Linked DNA regions of Drosophila melanogaster. The protein of the gene in region 2 interacts with the protein of the main gene of each other region in a pairwise test. Each region holds a gene or a part of one and is shown on either strand. Other genes may lie near its edges.

The links.
Region 1: the proteins of CG4661 (region 2) and CG7724 interact in a two-hybrid assay, tested with the Drosophila melanogaster proteins (one large-scale study listed by BioGRID).

What each region holds. Positions count from the first base shown.
Region 1 is NT_037436.4:17,053,873-17,059,336, reverse strand, and holds CG7724 (uncharacterized protein), read right to left. Parts: upstream 3,725-5,464; 5' UTR 3,660-3,724; intron 2,345-3,659; 5' UTR 2,308-2,344; coding exon 1,989-2,307; intron 1,876-1,988; coding exon 1,600-1,875; intron 1,525-1,599; coding exon 923-1,524; 3' UTR 804-922; downstream 1-803. Other genes in the region: rogdi, read right to left, coding at 4,971-5,039.
Region 2 is NC_004354.4:12,855,075-12,859,630, forward strand, and holds CG4661 (uncharacterized protein), read right to left. Parts: upstream 2,649-4,556; 5' UTR 2,586-2,648; coding exon 684-2,585; 3' UTR 614-683; downstream 1-613.

The DNA.
Region 1 (5,464 bases), on a different chromosome or scaffold from region 2:
CACCTCACCCATACACACCCACATCCACTCACACAGTCAGCCCGCAATATGTATATGCAACAAAAGTGCGAACAGCTTTAGCAGCAAATTGAAACTCACTTTGTTCACCATGTGCCACGTACAGGGGAGGATAGACGAGGTTCTTGGGGAAGTGGATAGCTAATCCCACTATACTCTCGATGGGGTTAAAATCGGCAGTGAAATAGGCAGAATCAGCAACAAGAACATAGATCAGCAACAGCATATTAAACCAAAATGAACAAAAAACGAAGAAAACAAACAAAAATGAACTAAAACATGATTTTAAACAAAAATGAAATTAAATAATGGCATATTAAGTTAAGCTAATGGTACATAAGTTTAAAAAACAAACGGCAAGAAACGCTCTAGAGCAACAAAAAAACGAGATGAACCGAAAACCAAGACAAACAAATATATATATATATATATATATATATAAATATATATATAAAATAAAAATTATAATGAAATAACTGAGAAATAAATAAATTAATTCATAATGATAAATAAACCAATATGAACATTGTTCAAAAACATACGCTAATTGTTTTTTTACTGGTCTTCTTTTATACGGAAAGTTTTAAAAATGTAAAGGGTCAAGATTAAGACGGTAAGTTATGAAAAAACTTAAGGAATATTATATACCATATGGGATTAGTCGGAAAAATTATTTAAACTAATAGAAAATAAATTATTTTTTTCTGCAAGGGTACATTAACTTTGACTTGCCGATGCTAGCTTCATTTCTTGTTTTCTTTTGCAAAACTAAACCACGACTTCGTAATACAAACAACAACCATTTTATTTAACAAGATATTTACAGGACATCAAAGAGGGCAGTAAACACAAATCCACTCAGGATATCGAGGAGTATGCTATCGTAATAGGGGATTAGCTCCACTCAGCTGGACTTCTTGAGCTTCTGGGCCTGCTGCCGTTGGTCCCACCACGTGGCATACCACTTTGCGCTCCGCTCGGCACTCGCATCCGGATCGAAGAGTGGCATGTAGTCCATGTGGATGGAGGCCCTTAGACGATTGTACATCAGCATCGAGGACGTGTAGGAGGCGATGGCGCGCAGTGAGTACCGCAGACGGTACTTGGTGTATGGATAGGCCACCCGCACTACCACCTCCAGCAAGAAGGCCAGAAAGAAGAACAGGAAGTGCGGCACATACCACCAGCTGGTCTTCACCTTAAACCGCTCGCCCAGCACGGCCATCTTCTGGACAAAACGAGAGACATCATTGATGCCCGTATCATCGGTGACAAAGACGGGCAGTCCATTCACCGCCTTATCGGACACCTTGAGGGCCTTATAGGCGCAGATGTGACCCCAGGCCACATTCCCGGCGTAGACCAACTGCTGCTTTCCGCCCACGCCCGCGATCCTTGGGAACACCCATCCCCTAGTCGAAAGGAAGTCGAAAATCTCCGTGATGAAGTGCGAGTCACACTCGCCATAGGTCAAAGGGGCACGCATGGCGCTGGTGGCCAGATATTCTGCAGAGGATTACAAATGTTAATATATTTAAATGTCTTTAAATAAGTCAATGCTAAGTAATCGGCCAAACTTACCCTTCTGGTTATGCAGTGGCGCTCCATTCGAGTTGAGCACTATGTTCTCTGCCCTAAGCTTGCTCGAGGCGTATCCGGGTATCAGGAACTGATTATCCTGCTCCCACAAAGTGGAACTGTCCAGCGTGGGAGTGTCTGTCTTGGATTCCGTCGAGTTAATCACCGCCGAGAAGGTACTCCGACCCTTGAAGGGCACAAAACAGACGGATGTGCAGCTTGTGTACACCAGGCGCTTCACATTGTTTTGAATGCAGAGGTCTACTACGGCCAGGGTGCCTAACAAAGCGAAGAAATAAACTCGAAATTAAGATCAAATCAATGTTTATTCCAAGCCCAGTTTAGTTGCCTGGAATTACCTATCTTACGAGGTACTTTATTCGCTCACTCACCGTTCACATTTACGCGCTCCAGTTCCTCGTAGTTCGGCGGATACTCGATTTTCACCGAGGCGGCGCAGTGGAAGACCCCGTCCACTCCGTTGAAGATGGGACTGAGTGCCTTCAGATCGCCACCGATATCGGCCACATAGGTGCGCAGCAGGGAGGTCTCCTCGTGGCCAATGTTGTTTTTGTAGGGCACTATATCCAGTGAGCGGATCTCTTTGATGCCCAGCTCCTCCTTCCGCTCCAGCAATTGCTTGATGAGGTGCTGACCCAAAAAGCCACTGCCGCCGGTTACGAGCAGCACTTCCCCGCTTTTGTTGCCCATTGCGTCCAGGGTCAAAGTACACTGGTTTTTGGTTTAACTGCAACGAGACCGACTGCAGGTTAGCTGGGCTGGCTTAAGTGGTTAAGTGGAGTTTCCGTGAGAGTGGCTTTTATGGTCGGCGGCCCCACTTGGACCAGCCCGGCCACTTGGACATCACACACATAAACTGGCTCATCACCAGCCGGCGACCTTCTTCGAGGGTCAGCGGAGCAGGTTTCCAAGTGACTCGGCGGTTTTTCAAATGCTCGGCTTACGTGACGCTCCGCGGCGCTAATAAAGGCGGCCACTTTTATATTACCTATATGTTTACTTATAGTTATAGTTAGTTTGTGTAATCCAAATTCCCATGATTACTTCAATTATTTGCTTTTTATAGTCTGTGTAATATAAACTGGCTTTCACCTTATCAAAATGGGTTTTAACTACTATTTATTTGCATAAATGTAAATATGAGTAACCAACTTACTAGTTTGTATCTTATAGTATATAGAGCTACATATATTCCTTGATTACAGCAAATACTTTTTATTAATTTAAAATAAAATCTGAAAATAACTTTCAAAGCTGTAATTAAGTAACAATTATTTCTTAATGGCCTAGAGCTTAGTAAAAATAAATAAACTTACTAATTAAATCATTATTTTCGGTTACCTTCTAATGCAACGCGACCTTAATTCTGTTCGTATTAATGGCATTCGCACTTTTAAAGTGCCAAAAATGACTGTTAACTTTATAATTTATAATATAAGCAAAGTTTGAATGCTGTTCGCACATTTAGACGGATATATTGAAGATATAGTGAGCAGCTAGTTTCCGTTGTAGAGGAAATCTGATGAAAATTCGTATATAAATCATTGTCGCTCTATAGCTTTCGATTTCTACTTCCCCTTAGTGTGTTACTTGGCCACGGTCAACTTTTGTTTTGAATGAATTTATTAGACCCCGTCCAGTAACTAAGGCCGTTGAGCAGACTCAAAAAGACATTAAAAATAATAAGATACTAATGGTGACAGCAGCAACATCTGCAACAGCCACATTTGCAGCAGCAACATGGCCATCGGCCAAAGCAACAGCAACTTACAAGATACAATATACGGCAGCAATCTCAACAAAGGGAAACATGGCTCAATGTGCTAATGTTTTCGCTGGGCGGTCTTACAGATTACAACACAGCATCAAAACAATTACCGCGAACTGGTTTCCGCGTCTATTTCGACATGCACGTCAACACACACGATTTTTTTTTGGCATTTTGGCCTGGCCATTTTAAACTTGTAAACACTCGACCAATAAATGGCACCTGTCTATCTAGAAGCCCGAAAGTCGTAATATCTATATCGTTCGATGCTTACCAGGAAAATTTGGCACTTTTTTGTGAGCAAACCTTTGGGCTTGCCTGCTGACTGGAAACTGTTTGTTGGTCATAAACAAAAGTGGCCGAAACCGAAACGATCGTTGTCGAGCCACTTGGCTATCACTTATCGTTATCGTCATCGTCCGCGCTGCTATCGATCGCAGTCGTCGAGCATTTGGCGCGCGCAATTGAAAGTTCGTTTTTCAAAATGCATGGCATTTGGTAAAAGGTAATTTTTATTCAACAACAAGTAAATGAATGTGGACAGTAAGTACGCTTAGTGATTACATAAATAGTTGTCTTCTCTTCCCATGCATTTAGTGGGGTGCTTAGGCAATTGCAATATTCAATAAGTACAGTGGTAATTGTTTTCGTTGCATCTCATTCAATAACTTTCTATATCTTTATAAACTCCCTGGTAGATGTATAAAGTAAACGAGAAGTAAAGGCCGTTGATACAAATGACTTTGGATTAGATTAGGATTGGGCGCTCTTAACCATTAACCATTAACGAGTACGCGAAATACAATTACGGATATACAATTACGAATACGAATACAAAACGGTGTTTAGTTTAGTACAATTAAAAATTCTGTTCACATTTCGGTTTGGTTTATTACAACAATATCATGTAAATGCCGATGTAGATGCCCCTTCCGTGTGCACCTAAGTATGTATGTATATAGGGGGCTGTGTTAGGGGGTATAAACGTTGTAAGTACCGACTTTAAGTACCGATTGACTGCTGACTTGGTGGATTTTGTTGCATCGTAGCAAACATAAATAAGGGCCATGGTATTACATTACATTAAATTACATGTACGAATAAACTATAATTATCTAGCAATTTCATTTTGTTACACATACAAACACAATTGGTTTTCACAAACGTTCTCTGTTCTCAATTCTCAGCCTAATGCTATTTAGATGCATTTTGATGCATAATTGGAGTGACGTGAAGCGATGAACTCAGGTTCTGCGTAGTCGTAATTTAACATGAATGTTGATTGTGTACATTAAACTAGTTGTATGCATGTATGTATGTATATAACTTTCTATACACTACTGTATATAGCAGTATAGTGTTTTAAAGTATTGTATTGTATAGTATAGTATATAGTATAGTATGCATGGGTATTATGGGTGTGCCGTTTCCAGTAGCAACATTTCAACTAACATTATTTACTTCGCTATTACAAGTACGGTTCTTTATTAGCTATTATTGTTGTTATTGTTTCTGTCGCCGATCCACCAGTGCCATCGATCAAGGGTTTCCATACCCGGCTTCCATTTCCCGGCGCATTCCCGTCTCAGTAGGAAAGTGCCGAGGGCGAACGCGAGCCAACTGTGAAATCTTTGTACACCGAAAACACAGATATCTGCGAAAGAGTAGAAATATTGAATTAAAAATACACCCACAATTCATTCGAGGACCCAGCGCATCGGAACCCGTTCCCTCACATTGGCCATACTCGTGCCAATCCCCATATTGGCCACTTTAATTGCCGACTTGCGTCACAGTCAAGAACTGCAGCGTGGCCCTGGCACTTGGCCAGCAACCAAATAAAACTTGGCGGCATCTTGTGGGTGCGGAAAAATGGGACAGCATCCGTGGCTCTTCGCACATGTGCTCCGCCGTTGGGAATCGCTGTGATATCAGTTCAAGAGCAGACGCCTTATCAGTGCCGGCTAGTTCCGAAAATAGCTTACTTTTGGGTGGGTGTGTTTCGTGTGGATATAATCGTTTGGGTGCTTAGTAATTGCTGAAGACTTCAGCTATTCTGGCCTATGAATTATAGAACCA
Region 2 (4,556 bases):
TTTATCGCTTAATTGCCGCACATCGCCTGTAGAGATAGTCCACATCACTCACCACCCACTCGATCCAGTGGCCACCCATTTCTTGGCGAGTTAATTATGCCACAGGTGCACTGAGAACAAATCGCAAATCGCCCATTGAAACAATATTTTTTCTGTATTTATGCTAGTTTCTCCTAAAATGTGCATTAATGCATTAGAGATGAATTTCTTTTAATTTCGTTTACAAAAAAAAATAATAATAATAGAGCATAGAAAAATCGAACAAAACATATTTTATACTGCCAATCTGCTATTTTAAAAGTATTAAAAATATTATTAAGTAGTGAGCTATGTGTATATTTTTCAGTGCAATATTTAATCAGAATGTTTTCGTTATTGCGGCTTTGGTCAAGCAAAAAGTTTGCGTTTGCCACCTGCCAGTGGATTAATCGACTCTGACGTGTGTCTTCTAAGCAATATGAAACTGAAGGTCTCGTTGTTATTTCGCAATTAAATAAATCATCAAAATGAAGGTGGAAAATAAATGGGACAAGCGCATGGGTGACTAAGCAAAAAAAAAAGGCATACAACCATATAAACCACACTAAATGAGAATTGATAAAAGAAAAACAATAAAAGTACAAAAGTATATTGCGTATACAATCTAAAAGTTTTGAGTTCATTGTTCTTGATTGGAAACCGTACTAATGGTTGCGACTGCGAGGCTTTTTGGCATAAAGTCCATCTCCCATTCCACCTCCTACAGCTGCCTTTCCGTTCGGTTGTGGTTTCCTGAAGATTCTGGATTCAAATTGCTGCTTCATATTTTCGGTCCTATCTGCTTGATTATTTCGCGACAGTGAGTCCCTGATCAACGGACAGTGGTTATCCAAAGTTTGGCGCTCACTAGCCAATCGTGTCTTGATCCCTAGCATTAGGCAGCATTCCGAGCGAGTCCTTTGAGCCATTAGTTCACAGAAATGATGAATGGCGTTCAGTGTCAGCGACTCGATGCCCAAATAATGAGACGCCAGGATAATTTCCACCAGCTGGTACAGTTCGCTGCCCAACAATCGCTCTTCCCATGAGCAAAGAAGAAATGAGGAACGCTTCATTTCATTTAAGTTAGCAACGCATTGATCATCGTTGGCATCCTCGCCTGTACACCTTCTAATCCCATTGCATTTCCATATATTTCGTTTACAAAAATTTTGCATCACATTGGCATGAATTACGATTTTATCCGTGCTTTTTAAGCAACCGATTTCACGTTCATCTTCGCCAGTATTTACACCTGTGATATTATTATTGCCAATTTCGGTAATTTGAATGTAATCTTGATAGTTACCATTTACTTTTGTGAATTCATTAATTGTATCATTCTTGCAATCTCTACTACTTTTGTTTGTGTTTTCGTTATTTTGAATTAATTGAATGTTTGGATTATATAACACTAACTTTCCATTATTTTCATCTATAATTGTGCAGTTCTCGTCTTTTTGATTTTCGTTTTGTTTGTAATCATTACATTTGATATCTGTAGAACATTCGACCATAAAATTTTCTTGATTTTGCAAGTTATTTTCGAAACTTTCCATTGAGTCGCTTGTTTGATTGCTTATAACACCTGCCTCGTCATTAACACTTTCATCATTGTTTTCACAACTATTCTCGATATTATCATTTCTAATCGGTGTATGGTCATAATCAAATTCTACATTCTTAAGTATTTTTGTGCAATCATTTTCGATTTTTTCGCCGAGGATCTGACATGTTAAATTTACCGTTTGTTGAGCATTACCTTGAGTGTTCTCACTGATTTGACAGCTGGCCTCGCTTTTCGTATATCCGTTTCCTTTGCCTATTTCGCAAATGCACGTCTCAACTGTTGGTGTCGGCGCGGCGATTTTTTCAGTTCCGTTTGCGCATAGAGTCTTCTTGTGCATCCACATAATCACACGTAGCAGTGTCGCCGATCGAATGGACCGCAACGGAATTGGCTGCACCTCCCCTTCCAAACGGCTCATCACCTCCGAATGGCGATACATCAAGGGACTGGGCACATTGATCAGGCGATGATCGCTGCAAAGGAAACGTATTTGTTCCATACCCGGTTGCCTTCTTCCGGCCACCAGATCCAGCAGACTTTTTGCGGACCTCACTTTGTTAGCGGCACGATCCTTCTCTGTGGCACCCGGACTTGCCTCCTTTATGGGCTTTTGCAGCTGAAAATTGGTGCTGCAAAAGCTATTGGTGGCTTTCAACAGCACGGAAGAATCGTCAATTGGCGCAGCGTGAGCCAATTGAATGCGGCGAAAGGATGTACGATTGCCACGAACTGCCAGCGGTTTTGAACGTCGCACCAGCGAGCGGATTACCGCTTCCTCATCCGTTAGCGTTTTCTTAAATACAACTTTCGGCGATACTGGCTTCACCAGAGCGCTCAGCGTATTGCTTATTGGCATCGGCAAATGGGAGCGGTTCAGCGAGCAGCGATTTGGTAGCGCGGCATCACGGATGCGGGATATCCGCGAGTTTGGACCATCCAGTACCGTTAGCGAGTGTCTAACGCGTTCCGGAATTCTCGACTTGAATCTAGATGACATGTTTTTTATGTTTTTTTTTTGTACTTCCGAATAGAAAATATGTCTGCTTAATTTCGGTCTTTGATATTGGCTAGTCAGTGTGTGTATGTGTGACTGGCATGATTGCTATCCCTATGTCGACTGGATCAAAAACCAAGCCAAGAGCACTGACATAAATGTACCCAATGGTAACTCGATCGAAAGCGATGCCAAGATTACTGGCCTAAATACATATATCGAATGTATTTGTCATTATCATTAATTATGATTAAGTGATTACGTTGATTAAGTCAGGCGAAAAATCTCTTGTGCCAACAGCTAAATTCCAGTTAAAGTTATTTAATGAAAACGGTATGCCAAATTTCTCTCTCAAAGTTAAACCTAAACTATGGCAATTGGTTTTTTAGCTGATTTTGAATGGCTTTCGGGCATGAAATATATATTTTTAGCCAAACATGCCTCTGCATCAAGGTAATCACTATTGATTGAATAAGTATGGAAACATATAAACTTATTGGTAGGCAACAAGCAAGAGTCAAACAATGGCCCTTCGGCCATTCAAGTATTTCTTTGCAGGAGTTTCGAAAAAAAAAGGACAACCTCAATTAAATGCATTTTCAAACCATTTTTCAGTCTTCCTACAGGATTTGCTAGCACGTCTGTGTGTGCGTAGGTTTTGCTTGTGTCTATGTGTGTGTGTGTGTGAGCAGGACATTAAAAAGTAATTTAAATGGAATTCCTTGGCATTCGCCACGGGGCTCAGGAGTGGGCTTCGAAATTGAGAATGGAATAAGAATGGCGACATTGCGACGCACAGTGGTAGGCACTGCCTTATTGTAATTAGAGCGATGAGACAATAAATCTCAATATAGGCCAATCCGTCCGTCCATTCAGTTCCGTTTCAATTCCATTCCATTCGTTGCCGGGTGCGTGGATTTAAATTGCATTGAAGGGAAACAAAAGGAGCAGTATCTGGGAAGCCAACGAAGCCACCATGGCAATGCATAAATCTAGCACTCTTCCCTGCATTCTCTGGAAAAATCAAACAGAGGTGTGTACTGGAGTGCACAGAAAACTAAAATACTCCATTCATATATATAAGCTCCATATATGGTTTTCGTTGTGAAACGGAATTCAAAGTAAGGCTCAGTAGCTAAGATCACAAAAATAAGAACCCGCACCTTGTATATAAAATTCAAAAAAATATGCAATCTTTTCTATATCAATACATATATATATATCGGTTGCATTTTAAAATTTCTCTCAGTGCTTAAAGAAGCACCAACTAAACGATAAAAACTGAAGCAAAACTTGAGGGCAAGGGTAGAGAAATGTGGGAAAAGCGGCTTCGTAGTCGCAGGCATTAGCTCAAAATTGCAAAACTTAAGCCAAATGCTGGCGCGGAAAAAGAGGAGAAAAAAGTTAAAACGGAATCGGTCCAAAAGGAAAAGCACGAAGAGTGCGTAGAAAGGATGAATAGAGAAAAGGAAACAAGTAGAAGTAGTACGCAGTGTGTGTGGGTGAGAAAAGGAAAATCAAAACCACGAACGAAACCAGACGAAGGAGATGGCTCATTCTTTGTTTTATGCCATCTACATAATAGATGGCGCAAGGAAGTAATAGACAGAGATGGCAAATGGCGAAAAAAAAGAGACGCCACGAGAGGCGGAGAAAAGGATGGCTAGCGGCTAGCAACGGAAACAAGTCAATTTGCATTCCGGCTTAAACGAACATCGCCGGGTTAGTTAATGTTGCAAAAAAGGTTAAAACAAAAAGAAAAAAAAAATTAAATGAAAAGAAGAGAATTTCGACTGCATCAGCAATCGCAAATTGGAAGCGGGAGAAGGGTAACATAATAAAAATAAATAAAACAGACAGCTGGCCAATAATTATCACTTGTGCTTGCCGTCCAACTTTTTTTATTGTTTCAAAATTAGTTTAGCTTTCGACCGGCGACCACTAATCAATCAACTTAGGAGGAAACTTCGATTA